Linked DNA regions of Caenorhabditis elegans. The protein of the gene in region 1 purifies or fractionates together with the protein of each later gene. This does not show direct contact. Each region holds a gene or a part of one and is shown in the gene's direction. Other genes may lie near its edges. The genes, in order: unc-24, mec-2 and mec-4.

What was found.
Region 2: the proteins of unc-24 (region 1) and mec-2 purify together in Caenorhabditis elegans (affinity purification with western blotting, with the first as the bait; one study listed by BioGRID). This does not show direct contact.
Region 3: the proteins of unc-24 (region 1) and mec-4 purify together in Caenorhabditis elegans (affinity purification with western blotting, with the first as the bait; one study listed by BioGRID). This does not show direct contact.

What each region holds. Positions count from the first base shown.
Region 1 is NC_003282.8:7,975,305-7,984,609, forward strand, and holds unc-24 (Band 7 domain-containing protein), read left to right. Parts: upstream 1-4,565; 5' UTR 4,566-4,578; coding exon 4,579-4,802; intron 4,803-4,994; exon of another isoform or gene 4,995-5,002; coding exon 5,003-5,078; intron 5,079-5,466; coding exon 5,467-5,562; intron 5,563-5,617; coding exon 5,618-5,767; intron 5,768-5,813; coding exon 5,814-5,978; intron 5,979-6,023; coding exon 6,024-6,644; 3' UTR 6,645-6,707; downstream 6,708-9,305. Other genes in the region: F57H12.6 (DUF148 domain-containing protein), read right to left, coding at 193-747, 930-992; ora-1 (Onchocerca Related Antigen family), read left to right, coding at 2,599-2,688, 2,985-3,371, 3,428-3,586; arf-5 (ADP-ribosylation factor), read left to right, coding at 7,241-7,291, 7,342-7,438, 7,566-7,690, 7,739-7,921, 8,084-8,170; mec-17 (Alpha-tubulin N-acetyltransferase 1), read right to left, coding at 8,710-8,939, 9,013-9,259, 9,301-9,305.
Region 2 is NC_003284.9:5,572,355-5,582,034, forward strand, and holds the start of mec-2 (Band 7 domain-containing protein), read left to right. Parts: upstream 1-3,614; coding exon 3,615-3,836; intron 3,837-3,892; coding exon 3,893-3,992; intron 3,993-5,591; exon of another isoform or gene 5,592-5,646; intron 5,647-7,182; exon of another isoform or gene 7,183-7,239; coding exon of another isoform or gene 7,240-7,360; intron 7,361-9,680. UniProt on the Caenorhabditis elegans protein: Subunit of an amiloride-sensitive cation channel (degenerin channel complex) permeable for sodium, potassium, lithium and N-methylglucamine, and required for mechanosensory transduction (touch sensitivity).
Region 3 is NC_003284.9:16,800,730-16,812,029, reverse strand, and holds mec-4 (Degenerin mec-4), read left to right. Parts: upstream 1-4,914; 5' UTR 4,915-4,915; coding exon 4,916-5,098; intron 5,099-5,458; coding exon 5,459-5,714; intron 5,715-5,761; coding exon 5,762-6,124; intron 6,125-6,176; coding exon 6,177-6,288; intron 6,289-6,504; coding exon 6,505-6,665; intron 6,666-6,762; coding exon 6,763-6,911; intron 6,912-6,958; coding exon 6,959-7,116; intron 7,117-7,158; coding exon 7,159-7,247; intron 7,248-7,340; coding exon 7,341-7,513; intron 7,514-7,564; coding exon 7,565-7,660; intron 7,661-7,783; coding exon 7,784-7,898; intron 7,899-7,942; coding exon 7,943-8,003; intron 8,004-8,060; coding exon 8,061-8,189; intron 8,190-8,237; coding exon 8,238-8,313; intron 8,314-8,452; coding exon 8,453-8,638; 3' UTR 8,639-8,709; downstream 8,710-11,300. Other genes in the region: cas-1 (C-CAP/cofactor C-like domain-containing protein), read left to right, coding at 114-2,331, 2,432-2,565, 2,704-2,925, 3,020-3,598, 3,663-3,869, 4,081-4,227, 4,273-4,353; aak-2 (5'-AMP-activated protein kinase catalytic subunit alpha-2), read right to left, coding at 9,180-9,281, 9,465-9,616, 10,027-10,338, 10,440-10,647, 10,697-10,802, 10,892-10,997, 11,223-11,300.

The sequences.
Region 1 (9,305 bases):
TCTTCTGATACATGGAAGAACCCAATTTATGATAAAATAAGGGACAACTGGGATATGACCTGTCAAGTTTGACTTTAATTGTTGCCACGCGCTTTCAAGTTTTTAAAGTAATCATGCTTCGGAGTAATTCTAATTAAATTTTATTAATTAAGCAATGAAAAATTTATAAAATAATTATTACAAATGATACATTTAGTGCTTTCCTCCACGATGTCCTCCTCTGAAATGTGGACGACTCTTCCACAAATCGAAAAGTTCTTCCTTGGCCTTTTCGCTGAGATCTCCAAGAATTTCAAACTTCTGCTTGTTCAATGCTTCAATCTTTTCATGTGCCTTCTTTGCTTCATCAGACAATTTTGTTTCCTTCTCCTTGTATTCCTTATCTTCCTTTTCCTTCTTCTCCTTGAACTCCTTGAATTTCTTCAAGTTATCTCCATCAAGTTCCTTCTCAGCAAGAGCTTCAATCTTTTCTGGCTTCTCACTCCATGGAACTGATCTGTCCTTGAAAATAGCTTCGAATTTTGCAAGTTTGTCTTTTGGAAGTCCCTTAAGGAATGGAAGAGTTGGTCTTTTGTGAAGATTTTTGCGAGCATCCTTTGGAAGAGAATCGATAACTTCACGAGTCAATCCTTGTTCCTCATAACACTTATCTCCTTCTTTGTAATCCTTCCAGATATCATTAATCTTTTCCTGGGCATCTTCTGGAAGACTGTCCAAGAATGGTGGAATTCCACAAGGTGGAGATCTCTGGAAAAAATTCGTTGATAATTGAAAGGATCGCAAGACTGTAAAGGCCTAAAAGCTATTCTACACTTTCATCCGATAAAGATTTCGGAATCTTTCATTCTCAAGTTCAAAACATTTATTTTTCAATGTCTAGCTAGAAAAAACAAAAAACAGCGCATAAATTGAATAGAAATAAAACTTACTCTTCCTCCAGGCTTTGCCTGAACTGAAACAATAGCTAGTAGAATAGCGAAAAGAATCTTCATGGCTGAAGATGACTGACTTCAATATCAAGAGTTGGAGATTTTATACCCAATTTACCGTCTCGGCGAATACAATAACATTGGAGGCGTAGACATAGAATGAGATGAAGAATAATGATAAATTCATTTGGAACAGATCTTTTGATTTGGTCATCGTTGTGTGTGGGTTTGGAAAAGGTTGACAACTGAAGATGTGTGGAGTGTTTTTTTGAATTAAAACATTTTGAAGATAGTGGAAGAAGTCAGAAGAAAATAAATCATTTGAAAGAAACATCAAGTTTAAAAGTAGTTCCCTCATTTTAAATTGAACTTATCAAGAGACATCGGAGTCAGGTAAATTATATAGTTTCTAATCTGAAAGCAGAACATTTCCAACTGATCTTGCTCTCTTTTCCCGCTGTTTGGCGCACACTTGGCATTGGAAGATTGTGCTCAAAATGTCCAGGTTGTCTTTTCATCGAGCTTTTGCCAATATTCGGAAAAGATTGGCCAGAATTGATAACAGAGGCTTATCCAAATCCTGCACAAGCTTTACCAAAGACTTTCCAAGTTTTCAACCAGATTATTATCTTTTTGGGTTGATTTGCTAGGTTGGCGCCAAACGCCTGGAGATATTGGTTGACCTATAATATAAAAATTGATAACTAATAAGACACAAATTGAACATTTTTTGTTTACAGAAAAACATGTTTCGATTGATGCAAATTCTACAATCACATTGAACATTTGAGGATTAATTTCTAAATGCTGTTGGTGTATTTTATCTCGAATATTTCATTTTCCAGTTTCTCACCAAACCTTTTCCAAACCATTTCATTCTTTGTTCAAATCACATTCAATTCCCATTGTTTTAGCCAAATCAAAGCAATTTGCTGAGACTGAAACTTTTAATATAAATTTAACATTTTAACAATACAAAATATTTTATACTGTTCAATTCAGATATTCGACCAATTTTTCATGTTTCATTTTTAGAATATTTTGACAAAATCCCAAGTGGCGCTTCTCCAACAACCGTAGTTTTTAGACAGGGTAGAACATGTTATGTAAATGAAAATACATTAAAGTCAATTGTGTTTTTTGTTTCACTATATTTTTTAAAGTTTGTTCATTATCAATAACTTTTCAATGTCACTTTCAACACATTTTTCTTGTTGGCATACACTGCACGTTGATCATCAAAGTTCAATTGAATTCAAAAAATGATTCTTGTTTCAATTTCTATCAACTTGTTCTTTCTGTAGAACTGGTGATGATCTTCTTAGATGAAACTGAACTATTACAAAATTGACCACACAGTCATTCAAATCTTCTTTGGTCTTCGTCGAATCTTTAAAATGAATGACATCATCAGCAAGTTGTCATAATGAAAGTGAATAGCTGTTATCTCCTTTCTTTTGTCGAGTGTATTTTTCTTCGAACGGCAAAAAATGATATGTACCGAACGGAAAAATGGGCGGCGCCTTCCAAAACAACAACAACCGCTGAGATCAGCATCAAAATCGGAGAAAGGGGGTATGTTTGAGTACAGAGCACTGTTTGGCGAAGGGTTCGGTTTCTGAATGGTATAAAAGGACAAGAATTTGGATGAAAAGGACATCATTCAACAATGATTTCTAATATCTTTAAAATCTCAGCTGCTCTTCTTCTTTTGACTATTGTATCTGAAGCTAAGCCTTGCTTCGGAAGATGTGGAGGTGTAAGTTTTTCTTCTTTTTTTTTAATTTCCAAAAATTCTGACAATTTAAAAAAGCTTTTATTTTAGGTTTAATTTTTTGGTTTAATTTAAGGTTTAATTTTTTAAATGCTACATACATTTTACCAAAATTCAAATATTCGAAATTGAAAAATCCAACCTAAATTTAAATTTCGTTTTATGCTCAAGAAATTTCATAGAAGTTTCTACTTTAATCAGCCGCTAAGTGCAAATTAATGAACTGTATTTCCTATTTTAATAGCCATATAAAACTCCGTCTCAAACTACAAACATTCCAGCGTCCACCACCACCATGCGGACTTCCACCATTCCTTGAGGATCTTCCTTCTGATGTTCAAACCAAGATAACTGAAATCTGGAAAGATTACAAAGAAGGAGACAAGTGTTATGAAGAACAAGGATTAACTCGTGAAATCATGGAATCTCTTCCAAAGGATGTTCGTAAGAGCATTCACAAGAGACCACCACTTCCATTCCTTCGTGGACTTCCAAAGGACATCCTTGCCAAGTTTGATGCTATTTTCAAGGATAAGTCAATCCCATTCAGTGAGAAGCCAGAGAAGATTGATGCTCTCGCTCAAGAAGTTCTTACTGGAGATAACTTGAAGAAATTCCAAGAATTCAAAGAGAAAAAGGAGAAGGAAATGCAAGAGTACAAAGACAAGGTAAGAATAAAAAAAAAGATTTTTACTCAAAAGGATGTTGAATATCATTCTTTCAGGAATCGAAGCTCTCCGCAGCTGCCAAGGTAGCCAACGAGAAGCTTGAAGCTCTCGGAAAACAAAAGTTTGCAATCCTCGAAGAACTTGATGAGAACGTGAAGGATGAGCTTTTCGATTTGTGGAAGAGCCGTCCTCATGGACCACCAAGACATCACTAGACGATAATTTGACAGCGATTTTTGTAAATATCTATGACAGAATTTTATTCATTCCCGATTTCCCGATCACTTTTAATTTATATTGAAAAATACATATATTTAAGATTGAATAATAAAGATTTCTATAAAAACTTTTGTGTACAAATAATAATTGGTTCCCAAATCTAAAGATGGAATAGTAAAGATATTATTAAAATATACGTAAATTGGGCGAAAAACATTCTGAATTTTTAAATTTTCAAATGTTTAAAACATGGTTTTGATAAATTTCCAAATTTTCCAAAGTGTTTGAATTTTTGAGCTAAAACTCAAGAATTGCTCCAAACTTAAACCTACAATGTGTAAATACAAATTTCAAAAAAGCTACTTTTTTTGGTCGACTTCCAAAACGTTGGCAGGTACAACTGAGTTTCTACCATATTCAGACTGTGAAATAATTTCAATTTTTGAAAAGTTTTACTATGATATTTGTTCATTTTAGCACGATAGGAGTGGTTTTAAAGTTTTCCCCACCGCGCGGTGCACCGCCAATACTTTACCTTGAGAATTTAATTAAAATGTAAAACTCGTAGAACATACTTGTTGACTTCCAAAACTATAATAGATTAAAACTGTGTGCATACACTTTTTCATGTAAATAAAACACTACCGCCTACCTTTAAAAAAATTTAAATTACAAAGTCTTCAATTTTGACTTCAACAATTTCCAACCTAACCCCTAAATTTTCTCATCGTATTCTTGGTTTGTAATGTGTGACAGACACCCTACCATTATCTGTGTATGAGTCTTTTGGGACACTCTTCTATCCAATGTCATCCGTCCTCTCAAATGCAAAAATAAATGCATTTGTGCTCACGGAGCCAAAGAATCGATGTGTGGTCCCGGACGCCAGAGACGCAGACATTCGAAACGACTAAAGCAGATGCTCAGTGTTAGAGCTCTTCGTCTCTTTCTCACACAACTACTTCATCTTTCTCTTGCTCCATTCAATATGACGTTCTCTTCTTCGTACAAATATTCGGCGCTGGCGCAAAACGATCCAGAGGCACCAGAAGAATTAGAAATGAACAGTCTTGAAGGATATTCTGCAGTCGATTTTGGTGATCCAAGTCAAAGTGTAATGGAATATGGAATGCCTGAAGGTTCATATGATTCCGTTTTTACATATGCTCCTTACAACGATCTCGATAAAATGGGATATATGGGTCCAGCAAGGTAATTTTTCAACAAAAAAACTAATTAACTTTGATATAGATGAAAAATTAAAATTTTCCAATGTTATCTTTCAGTTAAAATGGAATTAAAGTTTTATTAAATATTTTAAGAATTATAATTTAGCGATTAACTTAATTTTCATAAAAGTGTTTTACAACATGCATATGAACAATAAGAATCACTATTCAATAATTTTTCAGGCAAGGAATGATGCTGGGAAATAAATACGGAAACTTCACATACACAAGAGATTATGGTGTTAATATGGAAGACGATGTGAGTTTTTATTTAATAAATTAAATTTTGGTTTTCTTTATCAAAACTTAATGTGAAATTGAGCCATTTAGGAAATTATTTGATAGTAAAACTTTGAATTGGTTTTTTTGAAATATTTTTATTTTCAGTAAATAAAAAAGTTGAAATTACTCGGTTGTTGAAATTCGCCAAAAAATGTTCTACAATTACTATGATTTTTTTCCATCTGAGCATTGTAGGCATTTGAACAAGCAACAGTACTCTAAATTTCTTAAAAAGCATACATTTTTTGCAGATTTTGGCAAAATAGAAACCTTAACAAAAATGGAAATATCTAAACTAATTGAAACACACACGAGACAATTTAATTAAAATATACTTATGATATCTTAAACATGTTTTTTTTCAGATAAAACCCCTGAGCGCCATTGAACTGTTGATCTTCTGTGTTTCATTTTTGTTTGTTGTGATGACAATGCCCTTATCATTGCTTTTCGCGTTAAAGGTAGTAATTATAATTTTCTAGAGAACCGTTTCTCAAAATTTGCTTAATTTTTCAGTTCATCTCTACCAGTGAGAAATTGGTAGTTTTACGCCTGGGAAGAGCTCAGAAGACAAGAGGACCTGGTATAACTTTAGTTATTCCATGTATAGATACAACACATAAAGTAACAATGTCTATTACTGCGTTCAATGTCCCACCACTCCAGGTTAGCCTTGACAATATTTTGTCTAAAAAAAAATTTTAATTTACAGATAATAACCACAGATCGTGGTCTCGTGGAACTCGGGGCAACTGTTTTTCTAAAAATTAGAGATCCAATTGCAGCTGTTTGTGGAGTTCAAGATAGAAATGCATCAGTTCGAACATTGGCAAATACAATGCTATACAGATATATCAGCAAGAAACGGATCTGTGATGTAACCAGCTCACAAGATCGAAGAATAATTTCTGCTAATTTGAAGGATGAGCTGGGATCATTTACGTGTCAATTCGGAGTTGAAATCACTGACGTGGAAATTTCCGATGTGAAAATTGTGAAGGAAGGAGAGAACATGGGGATGTCTGCGTTGAGCAGCGTTGCGAAATCCGATGCTGGTCAACAGTTGTGGCAAGTTATTGGACCAGTATTCGAAGACTTTGCAAAGGAATGTGCAGCTGAAGAGAAAGCAAAAGAAAATGCACCATTAGTTGATTTGTCGGATGTTCCCTCAACTTCAGCTGCGGGAACTTCTACAGATACACCAAATATTCCTTCCATTGATATCGACCATCTTATATCTGTGGCAAGCCTAGCTATGGATGAACACTTAGTCCGTCTAATTGGCAGAGTTTTCCAAATTAATTGCAAAGATATTGAGCCCATTTGCATTGATTTGAAACATGGATCTGGAAGTGCGTATAAAGGAACTTCCTTAAATCCTGACGTGGTTTTTGAAACGAGTTTGGAAGTATTTGGAAAAATTCTAACAAAGGAAGTATCTCCAGTCACTGTATATATGAACGGAAACTTAAAAGTGAAAGGAAGTATTCAGGACGCAATGCAGCTAAAACACTTGGTGGAGCGAATGTCAGATTGGCTTTAAGAAAATATACTCATTTTCTGTTCTCTTTTTTCTCTTTAATAAATGTTTTTTTTTTAATTTAAAGATTTACACTATATTTTCTTGTCTTTCAGATATTATTTTGTACAGGAATGTTTTGTTTTTAAAGTAATATTATCTAAAATACATCCAGTCACTTAAAATTGTACAAAACAGGCTTTTGTGCGACGAATAAGCGGCCAAATCGAGAGATCTCATCGAGAAATAAATGCATTCTTCAAGGGAGGGCGCGTTTTCTGGCTGACGGGTCTCGCCACGATCGACTAATCGAAATTACACGTGTGTGGCTGGCTGGACGACATCCAGCAAATCGACGTTGCTATTGCCGATTTTTACCAAATTTTCTGGATTTTCATCATTATTAATAAATTTTCAAAATATTTAATGTTTGAAATGGATATATTTCTTGTAAAAAAGCTTTAAAATGGCTATAAAGACGAACAAAATAATTGTTTTTTGAATGAACGTGTCACATGCTTTGGAGTGTTATGTATTTTTCTTTTACTATCGTTTTTTTTAAATTCTAACTGGAAATTTGTTTTAAATTATATAATTTCAGGTGTTGAATCAGCTCCATTATGGGTTTAACAATCTCCTCCCTCTTCAATCGCCTTTTTGGCAAGAGACAGGTATGTTTTTGTAATGCTTAATCTCACAGTTTTAATGTGTTAATTTTAAGGTTCGTATATTGATGGTCGGACTCGATGCTGCCGGAAAAACTACGATCCTCTACAAACTCAAGCTTGGAGAGATCGTCACCACGATCCCAACTATCGGTAAGTATTTCAGGAAAATATTTGCATTTTTCGAATCAATGGTTATTGCAAAAGAGTCGCAAGTTCTATAATATGTGTGTTTTTCAGTATTTCATAATTCGTAAAAATTAATAATCTGATATTACAGGATTCAATGTTGAAACTGTTGAATACAAGAACATTTCCTTCACTGTGTGGGATGTCGGAGGTCAGGACAAGATCCGTCCACTCTGGAGGCACTATTTCCAAAACACACAAGGACTTATCTTCGTCGTAAGTATTCGAATCGATTTATAAATCTAAAATATTTTAAAAATTAAGGTTGACTCGAACGACAAGGAGCGTATTGAAGAATCACGTGAAGAGCTACATAAGATGCTGAACGAGGACGAACTTCGTGACGCTACTCTTCTCGTTTTCGCCAACAAGCAGGATCTTCCAAATGCTATGACCGCCGCCGAATTGACCGACAAGCTTGGACTTCACAATCTCCGCTCAAGACAGGTGAGTGGTATTCGAGATTCCGTTCTCTGTTTAGTCTTATCTGCATAGACGATCAAAATTTGAAACCGGACAAGCGTATTAATCTGATCGAATAAAAGATTGTCCACTCACGGAATAAATAAAATTGTTTCCAAATTTATAATGTAAATGAAAAATTTTCAGTGGTACATCCAAGCTACATGTGCAACTCAAGGACATGGACTCTACGAAGGACTTGACTGGCTATCCAACCAGCTTTCCAAGACCTAATTGCACAACTTACATGTCCAAATTCCCTTCTCCTCCAAAATGTGTAAATCCCTTTCCCCCATTAAAATATTCTTAACCAACAGCCACAATAATCCACGCAGCCGTTTTAATTTTGTTAAATAGAATTTGATTGTTTGATGGCACTGGGAGCTTCTATTTTCTGTGTGTTATTGGTACCCATCTCTCTCTCTCTCTCCGTCCCCCCAACTTCAAATCGGCCCGAGCCCTGTCCTAATTTATGTGATATTTGGCCGTCTTTTTTGGTCAAACTCTCCGAAACCACCACTGTGAACTAGTCGGAGAGCAATCGATGGCTGGTCCACTTCATCGCAACAGTTTAATTTATTTGAGGGTGTTGATGAATAATATTTTATAAAAACATGTAAGTGTGGTGGATGTTCATTTTTATTTATCGGAAAGAACGCTAAGTTTAATAAATTTCGAATTCCAAAAAAAGCATGAGAGCGAGATTAAACAGATGGCACAAAATTGCATAAAGTAATTAAAAGCTGAAAATAACTTCAATGTCCACATCCGAATCACCACAATGGCTTGCTCGACAGAATGTGAGCTTTTCTTGCCTTGGCCTGATGAGCTCTATTGCTCAAAGCACCTTGTGGTGTCATGTCAGCATCCACCGGAGCAGCCATTGCATTTCCCTTGCTCTGATGACCACTAACAGCGTGTTGAAGCCAACGGGTATCAGTCATTCCAGTTCCCAATCGACGTGGAGTCATTGGACGACGCCAACCATCTGGTGGAGGTTTTTCTGAAACGTCCAATAGTTTAATTTCAGTGAAGTTAGAATTTTTGTGGTCAAAATACTATTCTACTAAAATTACCGATTCCATTTTCAGCCGACAAAGCTAGGAAGAGCTCCTCGAAAACAACGAAATTGGTATTCTGCCATACAGGCTTGATAAGTCCGTACTTTTGTGACATAAAACCAAGAAGAGTGACTGATGGATTATCAAGAGCCAATTGATAAGGTTCAGTGTGTTCCTGAGAGAACATGTAATCTAGAATTTGTTGTCCAACTCCTTGGCGTTGACATGAGAAGTGAACATAAAAGTCCAGAAGACACAGAATCTGAAAAGTAAGAGGTCGAATGAAATGATAATTCAATTCACCTCTC
Region 2 (9,680 bases), on another chromosome or scaffold:
ATTTGATACATTTTTGGCTACAGTCTACACAAATACTATCAAAAGTTTATGTGCTCCAAAAAAATTTGCAAATCTAGAAATCCTCGTTTTGATCTGCTTACTTCATTTATTCCACATTGCTCATGAACTCCCAAAGGATCATATCGTTTTGTTTATTTTTTACTTTCAAAACAGATGATGTTCCTCCTCAAATTTTCCCCCAAAAATAGGCGTTCCTCACTTTTCCTACGCGTTTTTTTCTCAAAAAAGGCCACCCACCTCGCGTCTCAAACGACAAAATAGTGAGAGATGCGTCGCCGCCGAAAAATTCAACAAATTAATTAATTGGTCCGGGAGAGATGAGGAGGCTCAAGTCAGTCAACGGCGCGCGCCCCGAAAAACAGCTTCCTATACATCCGTTCTTGTCTTTGCGGCAATGCACCAATTGCTCTCGGGGTGCGAATTGAGCCATTAGCCGATTCGGCTCCACCCCTCAGCGCTAAGAAACGTGTGCTCGGGCGCGCGAGAGTGTGACACAGCGCAGGCGGAGCCTCAATAACTCATCTTTGGACACCTTCTGTCCTACAACTCCCGCTAACTACCATCTCCGTAGTTGTGCAATTTCCAATCCCAGTTATCTATATTTATCTATTATTCGCATCTTCCCTCATTTTATCTTGAATTAACTTTGTATAATTATGGAGTCGAATCTTGACGTGGGCAGTTGCCTACTGGACGAGTGCTCGAGCGCCGGATCGCATCGCAAACTATCAGCATTATCAGCAGCGTCCAGTCTCCACGCCCCATCAGAATCCTCGATGAGCCGGAAGCGAAGCATTCGGGAGCGAATGGCCGAAATGGCAGATAGCAGGAGGAATCCGAAAAAGCCAACTCCACCTAGTATTTTCGAAGCTGCACAGTTGATCGGCAAATTTTCCGGGCAACGCATTGATTTGTTATCAGGTAAGTGATATTTCTGTATCTTGTTTTTCGCATTTCACTCTGTTATTTAAATTAAACTAATCTAAATAATATTATAAATGTAATGTGGTTTGATACTATGATCAGACCCTATAATCAAATTTCCAAATTATATACGAATTCCGATCTGCAGTAACATTTGTTTGAACAGTCAAAAGAAAACAAAATGTTTAGTTCATATAATGTTGATTAAGCCAATTTTTGAAGACATCCCTTCCCTTCGTAATTGCTTATTTTGAGAACTTTTGGGAAAACAAAATCTAACCAGTCATTACCCATCCAAATTGGCAGCTCGTTAACCAAATCTTTTCTTAGCCACTCCTTCCGTCTCTAAAATCCCATGAATCATATTCTATGGAATTTGGAAGTGGGTTCTGAGTAACTTTTGCTGCAAAGCTCCGTGTTCGGTGATGGGAAACACATAAGAGAAAGGGGAAGAAAAGTTTAAAAGAAAGCCCCTCTTTGAGAATTCTGATTATAAATTCGGCATATCCACTTATTCTTCTTATCCTTTCCGCCGCGAACATTTTCGAAAAAAATGCGAGCAGAACATAAAAAACGAGTAAAGTTAGGCTGTCAAGAAGAAAGTCTGTTTTATTCATCAAATCCTCGCTCGACATTCACTTACACTCTTACTTTTAATGCAGAGTAAGCTTCTGCTATTCTTGATTGCGTGATGGCCATAGAAGTCGCTTTCGAGGCAAAGTCGGAAATCTGTGTGTTGAGAAGAAAAGGAAGAATGAGTTAATGAGGGCTAGGAAAAGTGAGACGAGAGCTCGAAATTCCTGAGAGCACCTAAAAGCGTCCACCCAAAGAGTGTTAACGTTATGTTTCCCATTTTGCAAAATTGTCAGATACTTCAAGTACTTTCAACTTTTTCAATAAGCCCCCGCAACGACAAGGTTGATTCAATTGGTGTGCATCCTTTTTTCATAACACATACACACATGAAATACATCTTCCATACGTTATGTGTATTTGCAAAAAAAACGCTTCACACCGGAATGACACGTTTCCGCACTCTCAGTTAGCAACAACTGGAGTGTGTTCAAAACAAAAAAAAACGAGAATTCGCAACCAATCTGAAGATGAAAACGGCTAGTTCAAATGGCTTTGTGCATTCGTCATAGTTGTTTCTCAAAACACTCCCAATGGTTTTATGATACTTAAAAATATAATGAAAAAATCTCAAGTTTCACATAATCCATCTTTGTGTCTTTTTTCGAAAGTTATTCTTGACGATGGCGTGGGAAACATATAAACAATACAACAAGAAGTCAGAAGGAGGAGGATATAGTCAGGAGGAGGAGGAGTGAAAAAGAGCATTTAATGAAAATGCAGTGAATCGTAAAGGACTAGATGTTGTAAATTGTGTGTCTAGTTTAATTTTTTACACGAGGAATTCATGAATAAGAAATATAATACAAAGTAAGAAATATGGAAAATTCGAACTAACAAAAAAGGGTATACTGACAATTTTGATAACAGTTGTCAAAAAAGGACCATATGCAAAAAAATACGTTTCGTAAATAGTTGTTTGTTTTGAAAATAGGGGTTATTAAAATGTTATGGCTAAATATCATAGTAAAACAAACTTATACTCTAAAATTAAAACAAAACATTTCTTCGATACATTTTATTTCTATCTTTATTTTGAATTGAGTTTTGGAAATTGTGGAAATTAAGCTGTATGTTTATTTTTGGGTTTTTTAAACTTTAAAATTTATTTTCCATTTTCCGCCTTCAATCCAATCATACATTTATATTTTAGAACACATTTTTAAAAGTAGGTCGTATCATCCAAAAATGTATCAAATTTTTTAAAACCATTTTTTGTTGCAAATTTAAAAATCATAAAGAATTTGGATAATTGCATAATCATTTTTTAAAGAGTTTTTTACAGCACTCTGTCCCTTTGACCCATTTTCTTTAATTTCATACAACCTAAAATTATCATAGTTTTCCCCAAGAGGTAACATTGAAAGTTAGGAATTTTCATAAACAAATTGCGTTAACGTGAGGAATCTGATAAGAAACGTGGACTACTTTTAATTACAAATTTAGAGAGTGTTGAGAGTTTCAGAAGAGTTACAGAAGAGTTATTTCAGCCACCATTATGTATCTCATGATTAAATGTATTTCTAATAATAGTTATTTAAAACTATATCATTTGAAATTAATTTACGGCTTCGAAGCGTTTCGATTTTCAAGAAAATTTTCAGCTTCCCAGGTTTCCCGTTCACTGTTTCCATTCGCCTTTTCCCGCCTGACCTTTTTCCCAAGAAACTACTATTCTAAAGTCCGACCTAACATATGCATATAAGTCCTACTATTCAAGTTTCTGGCAACTTCAAGATCCCAAAACGAAAATGTTCTCGAAACTCTTGCATTACAATGGACAAGTCACGCCAGAGACAATAGGCTAGTAGCAAGTTCTTCGCTGCACTGTTACCCCTAACTGTTTTCTTTGCATTTGTAATCAGGGACGTCATATACCAATTGGAGCAGAGTCGTCTTCTTTTTGGGGTGTGAGCCCGGCTTGCTCAACGAAATCCATACATTCGAGAGTACATCCCACTATTCGCCGAGTGTTTATGTGTCATTCGTGAATCGTGTCCCAGTAGTCTGTGACTGAATGCCCACACATTCAATCTATGAGCGCCACAATGTCATCAGCTCGCAATTCGGTCGTTTCACTATCTTCAAACGGCTCTGTCAAGGTCGAGACTCGATTGGTTAGCAACGAACGGAGCTCTAGTATTCAACAGGAGGGCGCCATGCTCCCATCATCCAGCTCCAAAGACGATGATCTCTTATCAACGTCATCGGACGAAGTTGAGAATATGGCGACCAGGACTTTACAGCAACTTGAAGAGGTGTGTGTCTATTAAATTTTTTGGTTTCCGGATTATCGTATTTGTTTCCGCTGTAGAGTACATCAATCATCTCGGCCAACAGCGACGATGACTCGGTGAAAAAAGAAAAGCAAGCTGAAAAGGATGTGGAGAAAGGAAATGGAAAAGAGGAAAAAGGTAGAAACTACAATCTTTGTCACTTATTTGATTGAATTAGTCATACATATGTAGAAACTCGTGCTTTCATTTGTTAAGTGACAACTTTAAGGTTCAAAATGCTGCTTTACTCTAAAAAAATGTTCGAAATTGTTTAAAATTGTGACACGCTGTTGTTAAAGCTTTAACAACTTATTCAATTATTTAAATTTCTGAAAACTGATGTAAAATACAGTATTTTATTGGGTCATATCTTAGTTGTCCTTTGTTATATCTTTGAAAAAAAGTCAAATGACGAATGCTGTGTTGTTTCTATTTTCATTGTTCTGTAGTTAATCATTTAGTGGTATTCTCACAATGAACCTAAATTTAATTTTTCAAAATAAAACAGTGAAGTGCAATACAAATAGAGGAAATGCGGTTAGCCGACAAGTAATGCTTAAATGTAATTCGAGTTAACCTTGGTACCGATTTGTCTCACAAGTTTCTGGTTATATATACTTCGGTAATATTCTTTATCATTTAAACGTTTGAATGCGCCAGTGGAATTGTGAAATACTACTGGTAAATAAAAACCAACCAAATATAATAATAAAACGTTTCAGTTTTTGAAAATGTTTTATAGACAGTCAAAAAGTGGCGATTTCTGAGTTCATGCTACATTTTGAAAATGCTAAAAATCCCTTGTTTGGCGAGACCCAAGCGCCTACATAGAATACGGCAAAGTTTCTCACCTTTCGACTTCTACATAATATGAAAATTCATTATTTTTAACAGTCAAGTTCAACACAGGCTGGCTCATAATTTTCAATGATCCTGTTTTTTTCTGATCTCTATTTCTTGTCGTATACATGTCGTCGTGCTTCGCCAATTCTCATGATGAAATTCAATAACAAATTCTGATTACTAGTTGTAACACCTCCAATTCTGGTTTTCCTTTGTTTTTTTTCTTGTAGCAAGTTGAGTTGTTTGATATAACTGAGTTCTTAAATCTTATAAACGAAAATTAAGAAATCAGTACTAATAACTAGAAACTATATATTGAAGAAATTGGAGATGTTGTAACATTACGCGTTTGTCGTTCCTACAAAACAAAAAAAATAGCAACAGACTTTCTTAAGCTTAAGGCTTAAGGTGAATTAACAATTAACTACGTTGAACTCAACGATTCTCGAATCTGGTTGAAAACAGCAAATTTACCGACTCATTAATAGTAATTGAATATCAGTACGATTGTTTACTACTTATAAAAAATGGCAGCACCGGTTAGACGTTCCTTTTAAGTGTCATTCTTTCAAATTATCGTGAACTTCCCTTTTATTATCCTGCTCGCACCGGTGTTTTCCACATATTTTCGCAGTTTTCAGTTTTTAGTATTTCCCAGCGTTCCAGCTCACCACGAGGTACCCGACTGACGACAAAAATAATAGACATATTTAGCAGATAAGCAGTCGCTAAGTAAATGAGAATTCTACTTGTTTGTTTCGTCTTCTGTCTGTTCCCGAACCCCTCCCTGTCAGGAGTTTATGTCTGAAAGTAGTTTACGCACCTCATTTTTCTTTCTCGCTTTCATAAGCCAGATGTATATTGCCTCTGGAAAATAGCCTCTCTTTCGGGCCTCGGTTATTTGTATGTTTTTCAACTTAGTCGGTTTTTGTCGCGGGACTCTTTTTTTCCTGTTCCCTTTTTCTGAAAGTTTGGGTGTTGTTTGAAGAAAAAATATAAATAAAAAACAAACGGTGTTCTTGACATATCATTTTGAATATTATGCACGTTCTCGGTCTGCCTTTATTTTTAAAATATTTTTGGCGGCTGTTTTGTAACAAAATTCAGTTTTTATTTTCTTTAGCACAAAATTAAAAAATAACCCGTTCAAAAAGATTGACTTTAAGAATTCTGAGAAAAGACAAATTATTTTTAAGTTTTTTATTGTTCCTGTCGTCGAAGTAAGGCATAACAAAAATCTCATTTTAGAAACGATGTTTTTCACATTTTTTGTTTTGTTAAAGTTTTCTACAAGAAAAGTAATTTGGAAGAGTGAAAGAGTTTATCACAGTAGAGAACACTGCAACCAAAAAAAGCAACAAAAACATAGTCAGAAGAAGTTAGTCACACTATGAGCTTCGTCTTCTTAAACAAAAATTTTCGGTTCGAAGAATTTAAGCATTCCCTCTTAAATTTTTACGCTTTCTCTAGTTGTTCAATGTTTACTCTGAGTGCAATCATCGAGAAAACGTAATTTTCTCTCTTTTTTGGCCTTTATGTCTGAAAAATCTTTAATTAAACATAAAAGTGCTTTCGTCCTATTCTTTCTTGATTCCACACAATGGAATTAGGCATGAAGCAGATATGCAACATTGGTGTGGTTTTAAAGTCTACCTGCTCTTTTTTCGTTTTCTCAACACAACCAATTTAGGCCATTCGTTATAAATGCAAATCTCTAAATTTCGAAATTTCAGTAAAAAAGCAATGCTTTCTCAGAAAACGTTTGTTTCTCAAAATGGAAAATGGCTTCACAGTTAACCCCATAAGTTGCCAATAGTTTTCCTCATATATTTTCCTAAACTTTTTTTTTCAGTAGTTCCTCAAAATAAGCATACATCAAATTATCAAAACACGATTAAAACATTTTATGTAGAAAAAATTTTTCTGGTCAACTTCCAAACATTATGGTGATTTTTCACCATTTTTCGACTGCAAAATGTTAAAAAATGTTTTTAAAAAATTTTACCACGATATTTGGTAATTTTAGCATAGTTTAAGTGATTTTAAATAGTTTTCCCTCTGACTAGTGTTTTTCGACAGGAAAACAAGTTATAAATCAGTCAATCTTGTTTTATTAGTTGTAGTTTAAGGAAAGGATCAAATGGATCATTTGTTTACACAATTCAGATCTCATCTGGATAAAAATTTATTTTGCTTATTTTCGTGAAGTTTAGATTGGAGAGAGAGAATAAATCTCAAAAATCACAATGAGATTCTAATATATACACACCATTAGTGCCCACTATCACTGACACTATTTGGTGTATTGTTTTTTGTATGATTGTTATTAGGTTTTTTTTTTCGAATGAGGATGCTTGTCTTTCTCGTTTTATTTAGTCGTTTTTTTCTTTTTGTTGAGCTCATTCTTCATATTTCTCAGTTTGTTTTTATATTTATGCAACGATCCTCGCTAACCCTTCTCAAGACTTAATATAGCTCATTTCATTCCGTGTACATGGATTCTGGAACACCGTCCTCAACGATTCAATACTTGTAAAAAATAATGTATGACGATCCGGCCGAACGAAAGTTTTCCGTTCCACCACCTCGCGAATTCAAATTCTCCCCGTATATCCCACGTATTCACACTGATGTGAAAAGACCACCGACCGAGCCACTGGGAGGTAAGAGAAGATTTTCCTTCCACCCACACGAGAAAATAAAACAAAATAATAGTCTATTGTTTCAAGTTGCCCTTTGCCCAATTTAAAAAGACGTTGACAAGTCCCAAAGGTCCAGGAGTTTCCCCATCTCTTACGTTGTGTCTAACTCCCAGCTAACCCATTTTTCAATAACTTTGTTTTGTTTTCAATTTGATTTCCTCTACACATTTTCTACATCATTAGAACAAAATTTCAAACTTTTTCCAAAATGCTCTACCAAGAGATTTTCTTTACACCTATTATCCATATGCGACGCAGAGACGATCCGGCGAATGGGAAAAAATCTGGTACTGGTTAGGCTTCACCCCCAGGATTCTTAGAAATGAAAAAAAAAAACTAAATTCAAACAAAACCAAAACATGTGTGAATCTTGTAAATGATTGCTATGTATCGTTGTATGCCAAGTAAATTTTTGTTTTATTGTTTTTCTGAATAGTTCAAGCTATGCAAAAAGGTGAGTGATAAGCAATGCATTCAAAAATAAAAATGTAAATGTAAAAAATAACCCATGATCAGTATATTTCCGCCATAAGGTGGCTATCGTATATCATTTTTTAAATTCAGTTTGTTAGTAACAAGCTTGAAATACATCACTATAATACATTCCGTGTTGTCGGGGCGACACAAGGGCGCCTTTTCTACGCCTCTTCATTCGCCCTCCTCGCACCTTATTGGCTATCTACACTGTGTACAATGTGCACATTGTGCACACTGTGTGCAATTTTTGGCCATAGTGTTAAGACGGTTCACATACGCTACTAAACGTTTGTTTCTTGTATTATCCAGTCCGTATTGTCTTTTGACAAGCCTTTATTGTTAAATGCAAAAAAGTGTGTGCCTTAAAAAAAACACATCATCTTAACAAACCGCAAAAAATACGGCAGAAAATTTATTTAAAAAGGTTACGCAGACACAAGCTCTTGGATGTACAGTATACAATTTGAATGCTCACACTTTTTGCGGGTACCAAACCGAATTTTTTACGCAAAAATTGTAAAATATCGTGTTCACATCACATTTCATTTTTTCACTGCTGTCCATAGGTCCACAATAAATATCTACGTCTTATCGAAATCCCTTAATAATCTCCACTTTACCTAGTTTCTTGCTGTTTCCTGCCAACATGTAAATATAGAAAAAGAAACTAAGATACTACTATTTTTGAAGTCAAACATCTTCTAGTCATCCGCAACTAATGTTACTCATCTGGATAATCTCTTGCCTCATTTTCAAGATGTTTTTGTTTTTGTGCATTCCTTTATTGAAATGGAATCCGCTAATCTTCAATATCACCTTGACGAGAACAAGATTTTCACCCTCGTTTTTGAACCAATGTTCTTTGATTCTTGCCTTTTTGCAGCAAAAATGTGATTGTTAAAAACTTTCTCAGTTTTTTCTAAATTTTGTTAACAAACCCCCCCCCCCCCACATATGCAAAAAAAAAATACTTAGGCATTCATCCACTGAATCCAAAACTTTTTTCTGCCCGCCTACTAATAATCCATTCTTTTTCTCATGAGTACCCAAACAACGGCCGGCAACGAACCTATAAAAAAGCCAGGAAATCCGCACCAGAATAACTTTTTCACTTCAATTTTTCAAAAACCTCTTTTCTTTTTTATAGCAACAGCTCAAAGTGAATTTATTTTCGGAGCTATTTCGATACAAAAGTGTTCGAATTTTCGAAAAAAAGTGGTTTCACCGAACCTGCCTTTACTTGAGAAATAAAGTGAAGAAAAAACGCGGTTTCTTCATAAACTTCTCAACAAAACGTTCATATTTATACCAGTCAACTCAATTCAGCCAGTCCGCCATTCATACTCATAAAAGCTCCCGAAATTGCTTCTCTGAAGTCATCCAGTGAAGCGTGGATGAAATTTTTAATTTTAGTTCATGAAATAATGCCAGGCCCCTCTTGGCCTACTCTTCTGCTCCATTTTTCCAGTTTTTAACTTAGAATGTTCTTTACATTCAACTTTTTGTTTAAAAAATGATTGAATATAAAAATTTTTTATGTACCGAAAATGCCATTTTATTTCCATAAATAAAAATGATGTTCAAAAACATTTACCACTTCTTGTTCTTTTGCACAGCTCTCATGTTCCATGTCAGCTGCTGTTTGGAAAAAAAAAACCAAACTAACCCTAAGAAAAACCTCATACTACTTGTTTTTGGTTAGGAAATTGTAATTCGTTAAAATTGCATTGTAAATTTTTACTTTATTTCTATCATCAAAGAACAGCTCACACAATTATTGCCACAGTCTTGACAAACTAAATAT
Region 3 (11,300 bases), on another chromosome or scaffold:
ACCCATTTCTCATCCGCACATTCATCCCCAAACACCTTAATGTTCTAGCATACTCTCTTCATTTTTTTTTTGCATTGCAATTTTATTTCTCCTCGTCTCCCCCCACTTCCACTATGGATTCACTTTATTACTCGGCTCCCAGACCCTTCAACAAGTATCCACGTGGCTACAGACCGGTAACCGATAGTACCCAAGATTTGAGAAGTTTCGGAGGCGGACTACGTCCGTCAAGCAGTTGGTCGTCGTTCCCTCAACAAGTTGTCATTGACCAGCGGTCAGCGACCCTTCCACATTTTCCATCCTCATGCGTTTCGCCCGTTTCTCCAACATCCCCTGTCGACCGCAATACTAATTATTGGACAGCTGAAGAACCTCCAAGATCTCGTCGGCCAATACGATCGGAAAGCAATTCTACTCTATTCGACAATAACTTCTCTCCACGTGAGCTATCTCCTTTGTCAGTGGCCAGTGAGTACTGTAACAATCCTCAACCAGCAAGTATGTACGGTCATCGAAGTGTCCAAAGTCCAGTTCCAGCATTTCAAGATGCTCCACCCCGAGGTTATGACAATGTGCCACCACCCCAATCATACAAGCAGCCGACGCATCCGTCGCCTTCCCAACGAGAAACAGATTTTTTGAGAAATCTGCAACGTCAGAAAGCCGAAGCACACAATATGTCTTCGAGCTGGTATGCAGGGGATCAGTCGTCTCGTCAGACAGATTTTGGCACTCTTCCGTCTCCACAACACTATAATTCTAATTCATCGGATCACCATCCGCCAAGACGATTAGCAAAAACCCAATCGGATTTGTCGTTTGACTCTCTCAACAACACTTATTTCAATAACACCTCAAATCATACTCCAAGTAACACCTTCCTCAATCATTCTACTGTTGATAGTCATAATAATAGCTCTGGTCAACTTCATAATTCTATTAATAACTACACGGCAAGCACGAATGGTAATCAAGGTCATCGATTGGATGGATTTTTCCGAAACCGAGTGATTGAGCCAAACTGGATGACTGACCCACCACCGCCAAAATCGTTCCGGGAGGATTACATTATCAGAAATGCACCTCTCAATTCAAATTTGAACTCGGATTTTGAACGCTTTCGGTTAGAGCCTACTTATCGTGAGCCTAGAGGTAATTCCTTGGTGTCTGAGCAACCCAACTTTCGGAGCTATCACAACGATGAACCGACTCAGGAACAGCCTAATCCTCGGTATCAACGCTCTTCGTCCAATTTCATGCAACAACGAGATCCGAGCCCTGTAAGATCGCCTCCAATCATCTCATATGCCCAACAATCGAATCCTTTTTCGTTCCCAAACCCGATAAATCAAGTCAACTATAACCAAGAAGATCATTCATCAAGAGTATCAACAGGCGGGTATCAAGACCGGCGAGTGGCACAAGCGCCGAAAGAAGCAACAACAAATGTCTACCAGAATGTTCCAGCCGCAGCAGCGGTAAATTTCCGAGAGAAAGAGCGGCCAACCAGTCAGTATTTGGAGTCGAATCGTAATTCGGCAGCGTTCCCTAATGAACCAATAAAATTGACAAATGATCGTGTACTCCGGATTCATCCTCATCAGCAGGTACAAGACCAATATCATCATCATCAAATGCCCGAAGAGCCCCATTATCCCCAGCCACATCAGCCCATTCAACAATCTCAACGTGCTAGGATTCAATCACCACTTCGTGATTTCGCCAGACTCACTTCCCCAATTCGTGAGGTTGCCCCTCAACCATATCATCCGCCACAGGCGCAGAATCAAAATCAGAATCCAGAGCGAATTTTCAGTCCAGTTGAGTCAAAAGTGTTTAATCGATCGGGTCCAACTGTAATTAATGGCTTCACGAGTAACCGTCACACGTATAATAGTCACACCGATGATTTCGATTCGAGAAATCGACGTGACTCGTCTCAACCACCAGTGGCTATCATTGAGCCGAATATCAATGTTCACATGCCATCCGACCCGATGCCATACAACAAACCTCATTTCGGACATGGTCACGGGCATAGCAACGGGAATAATAATGTACATTCGGTGAAACCAACATCTCACTACTCAAACCCAACGTTTTCACCGACTTCAACTTTTTCACCAAATTCGAACTACGACAACGATAACGACAGTGATCTGGATATTGAGGAAATGGCACGTCGTGCGCTTCCGAGGTATCTACGAGACAATGAAAAAACGGGACGACACAGAAACTTATACGGCGACAATTTGCACGGGATTCTTATCAAAAATCCGTCACTTCATCGGAGTTCTTCAAAGAAAGTTGTATTTATAGATCAGAATAAAGGTAAAACTTAGTAAATTGTAAATTCAAAACTAAAAATTCTAGAAATAAGCAAACCGGTTCGATACTTTTGAATTAATTAAAATAAAGTTAATGTTTTCAGCGTCTGCTGCCGCTTCTGCCGGTGACTCTGGAGAAGTCCCAGCTCATGTTCGTGCTTACGATGATGCCATCGAGGAGCCACTGGCCAATTGGAGCAAGTTGACAGATCAACTCGGCGGCGATCTTGCTGCTGTGGTGAGTGTTCAAATGATGTTTTGTATTGATTAAAACAAAAATAAATAAAAAATTGCACTAATCTATTATAATTCCTTATCTTTATCCAAATTACCCAACATAGAATAAGAGTTTAACATCGTAAAACAAATATTTCAGAAGCCAAAAGTGTTGGCTATGTTTGCCAGTATGCGCAACTATTTATGGTCTGCTGCTGGAAAATCGGAGCCATCGGCCGAGGAAGCTCAGAAGATGCTCACTCCAGTTATTAACTTGCTTGGTGAAATCAACAATTTCAAGGACACGAAGAGAAAGACCCCTCACTGGAACCATCTCAATTCGGTGGCTGAAGCACTTCCGGCTCTTGGATGGGTGACCGTGGTATGTTAACATTCAAAAGTTGAAATAAAATATTACTGTGCTCAAGATTCGATAATCTTAACATACATATTTTCTAAACTGCTTCTAATTTCAGAAGAAAACCCCAGCTCCATACGTGAAGGAGTTCATTGAGGCTGCTCAATTCTACATCAACCCAATTCTCCGCGAGTTCAAGGAGACCGATCCAAGACACGTTGAGTGGACCAAGGCTTGGAAGGCTGTATTTGAAGAGATGCAGAAGTTTGTTCGTCAAGTTCACACTACTGGTCTAGTCTGGAACAGCGCTCCAGGAGCCGCCCCTGATGCTTCTGCCTCTGCTCCATCTGCCGCTGCTCCATCAGCTCCAAAAGCTCCAGCAGGTCCAGGAGGACCACCCCCACCACCTCCACCACCACCAGCCGACTTCTTCGCCAACATTGCTCCGCCACCAGTAGATGCTGACAAGGCAAGCCGTGATGCTCTCTTTGCTTCGTTGAACCAGGGAGAGGGAGTTACTTCTAGACTGAAGAAGGTCACGGCCGATATGCAGACTCACAAGAACCCAAACCTCCGAGGAACCGCTGTTGTGCCAGCCGCTGGTGCTTCTCAGGGCGGCTCATCTCCTGCCAAACCAGCTGCTCCAGTAAGGAAGCCACCACACAAGGAGCTGGAAAACGGAAAACAATGGATTGTGGTAAGTGTTTCAACAACTTGAAAAACATATTCAATAAGCATTATCAATGAAAAACTATTTACAGGAGTACTTTGTCAACGATCCAAACATTGTTCTCGATGTTGCCGATAAGAAGCAGACTGTCTATATCTACCGTTGTGAGAATTCTGTGATTAAGGTCAACGGAAAGGCCAATTCTATTACTTTGGACGGGTGCAAGAAAACGTCTGTTGTGTTTGATGCCCTTGTGGCTCAGTGCGAAACTGTCAACTGCCAATCTGTGCAAATTCAGGTAATCAGAAGACTTTTAGTTGTACAAGCTTCAATACAAGCTCAAATACAATACTATTTTTTTTCCGTCTGAACATAAAATTAGTTTCTAAATAAAAAATGTGAAAATAAATATTTGGTTTTAATCGTTAAAATCTTCCAAATTACTAATAAAGTTCAGTCAACTATATGCTTCGAAATTCACTGAATCTATTATTGTTATTAATTTTTAGACCCTTGGAGAGCTCCCAACTCTTTCAATCCAGAAGACTGATGGATGCCAGGTGTACTTGTCAAAGGTGGCTCAAGGATGCGAGATTGTCACTTCCAAATCCAGTGAGATGAACATCTCCGTGCAAACCAATGATGATGGGGATTATGTAAGTTTTTCGGATTGTAGAACCCAATCTAAATTTCCTTTTCAGTCGGAGTTCCCGGTTCCGGAGCAGTTCAAGACAACTTTTGTCAATGGCAAGCTAGTCACTGTCGTCTCGGACATTTGCTAAATCTTCTCACGTCATAACCTTATTTTTCAACTTCATGAACTATCCCCTCGAACTTTTTTATTTGTCCCTGTCTACAATTCTTTATAAGCAATTGAGACACACTTTGCTTTATTAAATAATACCGATTTTGTTTTGTATATGCATTGACTGGTGCTCAACTATTTTTATTGAAAAAATTACTTTTTACTGTCTCGTCGAATAAAAGTGATCCCTTCCAAAAAATAGTTATTCATGTTTGAAGGTTTGTGATCGTAGAACAATTGCACCGAATGTAGTGTAAAAAAAATTCCAGAATGTTCAAATACATTTCCACCCTCACCAGAACATCTCAAACACCAGGCACATTTCAACACACTTTCATGGATCTTATCTTGCCTCAAAACCATCAGCTTTCTTCTCATTCTACAAGTATGAAACAATCTACTATTCTATACATTTATAATGTAATGGAACCATGTGAAGACATGAGCAAGATCATTGTCGTCAGCGACTACCCCTCCTTCATTTTTCTTAGAGTATCAGTTTGCTAATGCTATTTTTTTTATCGCTATCAAGTTATAGAATGTCATGGATGCAAAACCTGAAAAACTACCAACACCTTCGGGACCCATCCGAGTACATGTCCCAGGTTTATGGAGACCCGTTAGCGTACTTACAAGAGACGACTAAATTTGTGACAGAAAGAGAATATTATGAAGATTTTGGTTATGGCGAATGTTTCAACTCTACAGAATCAGAAGTACAAGTGAGTTTACGTAATTTTCAAATTGCAACGGTAAATTTTATTTTTGTATGCAATTGTATTTTGTTCCCAGTTTTTGAAATATTCGTTATATACATTGAAGTTTTTCAACTGTAAATTTGAAGGCCCGTATTTTCTTAATTCTTCGATAAGTATTTTGTCTTTATAACTACTAAGTTTTTGCTGAATCAACTTGTTTATTTTACTTTGATAGCTTATCTGCAAAACTGTACCAAAATTAAAAACCAAGATTTTTTGTTTTGGAACAATATAATCAAAACGCTTAAAATGTTCAATAAACGGTAAAAAAAATAAAACTTGCAAAAAGTCGCAGCTGAGTAATCTAACATTTCCGAATTTCAGTGTGAACTTATTACGGGAGAATTCGATCCAAAATTGCTACCCTATGACAAACGTCTAGCCTGGCATTTCAAAGAGTTTTGCTACAAAACATCTGCTCACGGAATTCCCATGATTGGTGAAGCTCCAAACGTATATTATCGAGCAGTTTGGGTCGTACTTTTTCTTGGATGTATGATAATGCTCTATCTTAATGCTCAATCTGTGCTTGACAAATACAACAGGAATGAGAAAATTGTCGATATTCAATTGAAATTTGGTAGTTTGAAAAATCATGTGCTCCTTACTGAGCTTTTTTATTTCCAGACACTGCACCTTTTCCAGCAATTACGCTTTGTAATTTGAATCCTTACAAAGCAAGTTTAGCAACAAGCGTGGATTTAGTAAAGCGAACGTTGTCAGCATTTGATGGAGCAATGGGAAAAGCCGGAGGAAACAAAGATCACGAAGAGGAACGCGAAGTTGTCACCGAACCACCCACCACCCCTGCACCCACCACAAAACCGGCACGTCGTCGAGGAAAACGTGATTTATCTGGAGCATTTTTTGAGCCAGGATTTGCAAGATGCCTTTGTGGAAGCCAAGGGTCTAGTGAGCAAGAGGATAAGGATGAGGAGAAGGAGGAAGAGTTACTTGAAACAACTACCAAAAAGGTATTTAATATTAATGGTGAGTGTTGCATGTCAAATGAGCATCGCGTAAAACATTCTTTTGAACACAGATGCCGATGAGGAATGGGATGGAATGGAAGAATATGACAATGAGCATTATGAGAATTACGATGTGGAAGCAACTACTGGAATGAATATGATGGAAGAATGTCAATCAGAGAGGTAAAGTCTAGTCTAACAACTTTGACAAAAAAGTGTTTGAAAAAGTCTAGTCTTACAATTTTGAGGTACGGTAAAGTTTGTCCATTTTGATAAGTCCAATTTTTGAGAAGGCTCAATTTTGCCTTCCATAAATTTGAAATTCATATGGTTCCAAAATACAGAAGTTCATAATGAGACGTTTCGAAATGTTCTCCACAAATCTTTTTTCTCGTTCAGAACAAAATTCGACGAGCCGACGGGATTTGACGATCGGTGTATTTGCGCTTTCGATAGATCAACTCATGATGCGTGGCCCTGTTTTCTGAACGGAACCTGGGAAACCACCGAATGTGATACTTGCAATGAACATGCTTTCTGCACCAAAGATAACAAAACTGGTAGGTTTTTCAATCACTTTGCCAAACTAGCTTCACTTGTTTGATTTTACTCTTCTTAATTTTTATTGTTGTTTTTTTCTAAATCGGAATTTTTCAGCGAAGGGCCATAGATCCCCATGTATTTGTGCTCCATCTAGATTCTGTGTAGCATACAACGGAAAGACGCCACCAATTGAAATTTGGACATATCTTCAAGGAGGAACTCCAACTGAAGATCCAAACTTCCTTGAAGCTATGGGATTTCAGGTAACAATCACAAATATATAAATCAAGTGGAAACTGAAAAGTTTCAGGGAATGACAGATGAAGTTGCAATTGTCACTAAAGCCAAGGAAAACATCATGTTTGCAATGGCTACCTTGTCAATGCAAGATAGGGAACGGCTAAGTACTACAAAAAGGGAACTTGTCCACAAGTGCTCGTTTAACGGAAAAGCGTGTGATATCGAAGCGTTAGTTAGGCTTTCAGATATGATATAAATTCAATTATTCAGAGATTTTCTGACTCATATTGACCCTGCGTTTGGTTCGTGCTTTACCTTCAATCATAATCGAACAGTAAACTTGACTAGTATTCGAGCAGGTTAGTTTCCTCAAAATTTTTTCCACATATTTTTTTCTAAAATAATTTTTGAAGTCCGTTATGTATAAACCAAAAAACGTGTTCCGATTCCAGGTCCCATGTACGGATTACGTATGCTGGTTTATGTAAACGCGTCTGACTATATGCCAACCACGGAAGCCACAGGCGTTCGTTTGACTATTCATGACAAAGAAGATTTCCCATTTCCTGATACGTTCGGTTATTCTGCTCCAACTGGATATGTATCCTCATTTGGATTACGATTGGTATTAGAAATTCAAACTCTTTTTATAGAGTAATGGTGTTGTTGTTTTCAGCGAAAGATGTCACGTTTGCCAGCACCTTATGGAGATTGTGTGCCAGATGGCAAAACATCGGACTATATTTACAGCAATTATGAATATTCGGTAGAGGTGAATAGTAAACAGAATTTAAGCAAGTTTAGTAGGAAAAATGGGTCATAGAAACTTTGTGATTCTTGTTAAAATAGCAATTAAATATAGAACTTAATATGATAACAGAGGGAACTATTCCAGGGCTGCTACCGTTCTTGCTTCCAACAACTCGTGCTGAAAGAGTGCAGATGTGGAGATCCACGTTTCCCAGTCCCTGAAAATGCACGGCATTGCGATGCAGCAGACCCTATTGCAAGTTAGTTTCAAATTTGACATCTCCATAAATATTTTTTTCTGCAGGAAAATGTCTTGACGCCAGAATGAATGACTTGGGAGGCCTACACGGATCTTTCCGTTGCAGGTAACTTTTGAATTGTTATATACTTTTTAAATAAAAAACTGCAATTTCAATTTTAAGATGCCAACAACCATGCCGCCAGTCAATCTACTCCGTTACATACTCGCCGGCAAAGTGGCCGTCGTTATCTTTGCAAATTCAACTAGGATCGTGTAATGGTACAGCGGTAGAGTGTAATAAGCATTATAAGTAAGTTAATTCAAGAAAAAACACACTTTAAAATTGGGCCTATTTGAGAGAGAACGGAGCAATGGTGGAAGTGTTCTACGAGCAGTTGAATTTTGAAATGCTCACTGAATCAGAGGCTTATGGGGTGAGTTGAAAAATTTAGGCAAAGAACGTGTATCAAAGAAATGTATCAAAAAAATTCGAAAAAATGCCGAATTACTACTAGCGAGCAGGCAAAAAAAAATTTATTTTTATTCCAAAAAATTTATCTCAACTATTTCTAGTTTGTCAACTTGCTAGCCGATTTTGGTGGACAACTCGGTCTTTGGTGCGGAATATCCTTCCTTACCTGTTGCGAATTTGTGTTCCTTTTCTTGGAAACTGCCTACATGAGTGCCGAACATAACTACTCTCTGTACAAAAAGAAGAAGGCTGAGAAGGCAAAGAAAATTGCGTCTGGATCTTTCTGAATTTGTTTTTTCTTGTTTTAAAGTTACCATTGCAATGTTGTGTCTTAAAATAAAAATTTACATGAGAATAATTGAATAATTTTGGGTAGGAAATTATTCAATTAATATTTTACTTACAATAGACACAAAGAAGTAGGAGAAGGGGAGTTTAAAAGACAGAAAAAAAAACTACTGAAGAGAAACATATAAAAAACAGAAACAATCACTCGCTGAAGGAAAATCTATTCACAGAAACAAAGGGGGTGACAAGTCAAGTCATAACTTTAAATAATTATTTGTATGGTTACTTGTCAAAATTGGCTGAAAATGAAAGCGGCACTAGAATAGCATCAATTAAAATACGTGGCATTTACGGAGGTGAAGGGGGGAGGGGCAAAACCAAACAGAGTCAAGAAAAAAAATACAAAGATACTGTAAGCTGCAACAAAGTGAACCAATATAAGAAACGGGGGTTTCAAGCTTAATACAAGGAATGGAAGAAATAAATTTTGAGACAGAAAAGTTGAATTTTACACAGAGCATTGTTGGCATCAAGGAGTGCTTAACGAGCCAGTGTTCCAATCAATGCGGCGCAAATCTCAAAGAATTGCATAGTCTGGGAAAGCTTAGCTCCTCCAGGAGATGGTGGTGGTGTCACATCGCACTGAAAATACTCGGTCATTGAAAATTAGTGCGTTAATTATTTAAAGGTAGTGGCATCAACTTCTTGTCACTCGAAGATTTTTAAAAAACCTATAACTATATCAACCACTCCAAATACAATTCCAGTTATTTGTAATACTTCACAATAAAAATATTGAAATAAAAGAAAAATATTAATTCTCACCGACATGTCCGAAAAATCATGCACTTCCATTTTCTCAATACTCGCCTCCATACTCATCGCCTGTGGCATGCTTGACGTTCTAGTTCCACGAATTCCGGCCGGCTTCTGCGGCATAGACATTGATGCGTGTCGGGATGAAGATGCACTGGCGGCTGAAATTTTTAATGAATATTGGTTGAGGTGGAAATTATATATTCATTTGACCCATTAGGAAAAAATGCATACAAAAAAAATCGTCTTGAGAAGACTTGACGCTATTGAAAAAGAATTTCCATTGACCTTTTTATTTTTCCAACTGCAAAGCAAACTTCGTTTTAAACATTTCTGAACAAAATTATTGTGACACGTTAAGCTAGACTACATGCAGAAACTTAGGTTATAGAGGGGCATGTTCAGAGACCATTGCAAAATATTATTCTACGGCTTTTCAAATTCAAATTGTGATTTTAGTTTAAAAAAATGCACTAACTTGTATTTTCTAGTATTTTCTAGAACGATTAACTAAATATTTTAAACAGGTTCCACTTTCAAAAAGTTCAATCTAAACAAAGAAAACCCTTACATCCAGACTCCTCGTCGGCCAAACTCTTGAAATCCAACAAGTAACTTCTCTGATCCACTTGGTACAACTGCAACGACATCTTTGGCGGGTCGGCAGCGGGTGCATCAGGCTTGCGACGAACAATCACATGATATGGGTTGAGCACCTTCCACTCCATGTCCAGCTGCTTCATCGCACGGAACACCTCGAACATGATGTCTTCCGGACGACTTTGGGATCGGATACCCAGATGCCACTTGGCACGTTTGTTGCGGTTCGCGCCACTGGCTTCCGTGTTGTCGAGAGTTGGTGTGATCTTGCTGCTGACTGACGCTGAAATTGAAGATTTAGATATTGTTTTACGAATTTCATGTTCGATGCAAAAGTTTTATTATTCTTTGCCACCAAGAGTTTTTCTATGCACCCTCTCCTACCTGCAATGCGCTCTGGATGGCGATGAACTGGTCCAGGTCCCTTATTCGGCGTCACTTGATAAAACTCCTCAATTGACAACTTGGCAGTCTCATCGGCAATTCTCTTGTTATCAACAATCAAGTTATATGCAATCGACAAATGGTGATGTGGATCATCTCCCAGCAATGCTGAGGTGACTTCCTCTTCGGCGACATGATAGCGCTGAAACTTTTCATTGTGATTAGAAACTTCTGCTCCTATCGAACACGATTAATACCTCAGTGACCTCTCGGACAGCCTCAATATCAACAATGGAAGCCTCACTCTCGTTGATTGGTGGGAACAAGTAGTTCGGCAAATCCTTCTGGAACCACTCGTGAGCACTGAAAATATAAAGCAGTTATTGTCTTGTTTCCTTGGCGTCTCATAGCAACGATGTTTGTTTTTTTTTTCTTTTTAGAAGACCACTTACATGACGTCCTTGATGGTGGCCCTCTTCATCGGGTCTACGCAGAGCATATGGTGAAGCAGATTTACAATTGGGCGCTCCAGAAAGTCTGGAGTTGGGAATACGCCAGCTAAAAAACATATTTCGTGAACGTTATAATTTTTAATGATTCCAATTTAAATTTCAAACATTTATCACCCGGGCAGTGCGCCAAAACATAGTAATAGTGCCTTTTGTAATAGGGATATTTCAATTTTCAAATCCCATTTCGCTTTCATATGTCTAAATGAAATTGGTATGTTGTCGTAATCCTTTGCCATTTTTGTGTTTTGATTCTCATGTCACACTAACGTACATTTAATTTTTCTGAAAAGACTTGGCACGTGCTCATCATCAAATGGCAGGGTTCCACAAAGAAGTGCATACAAAATGA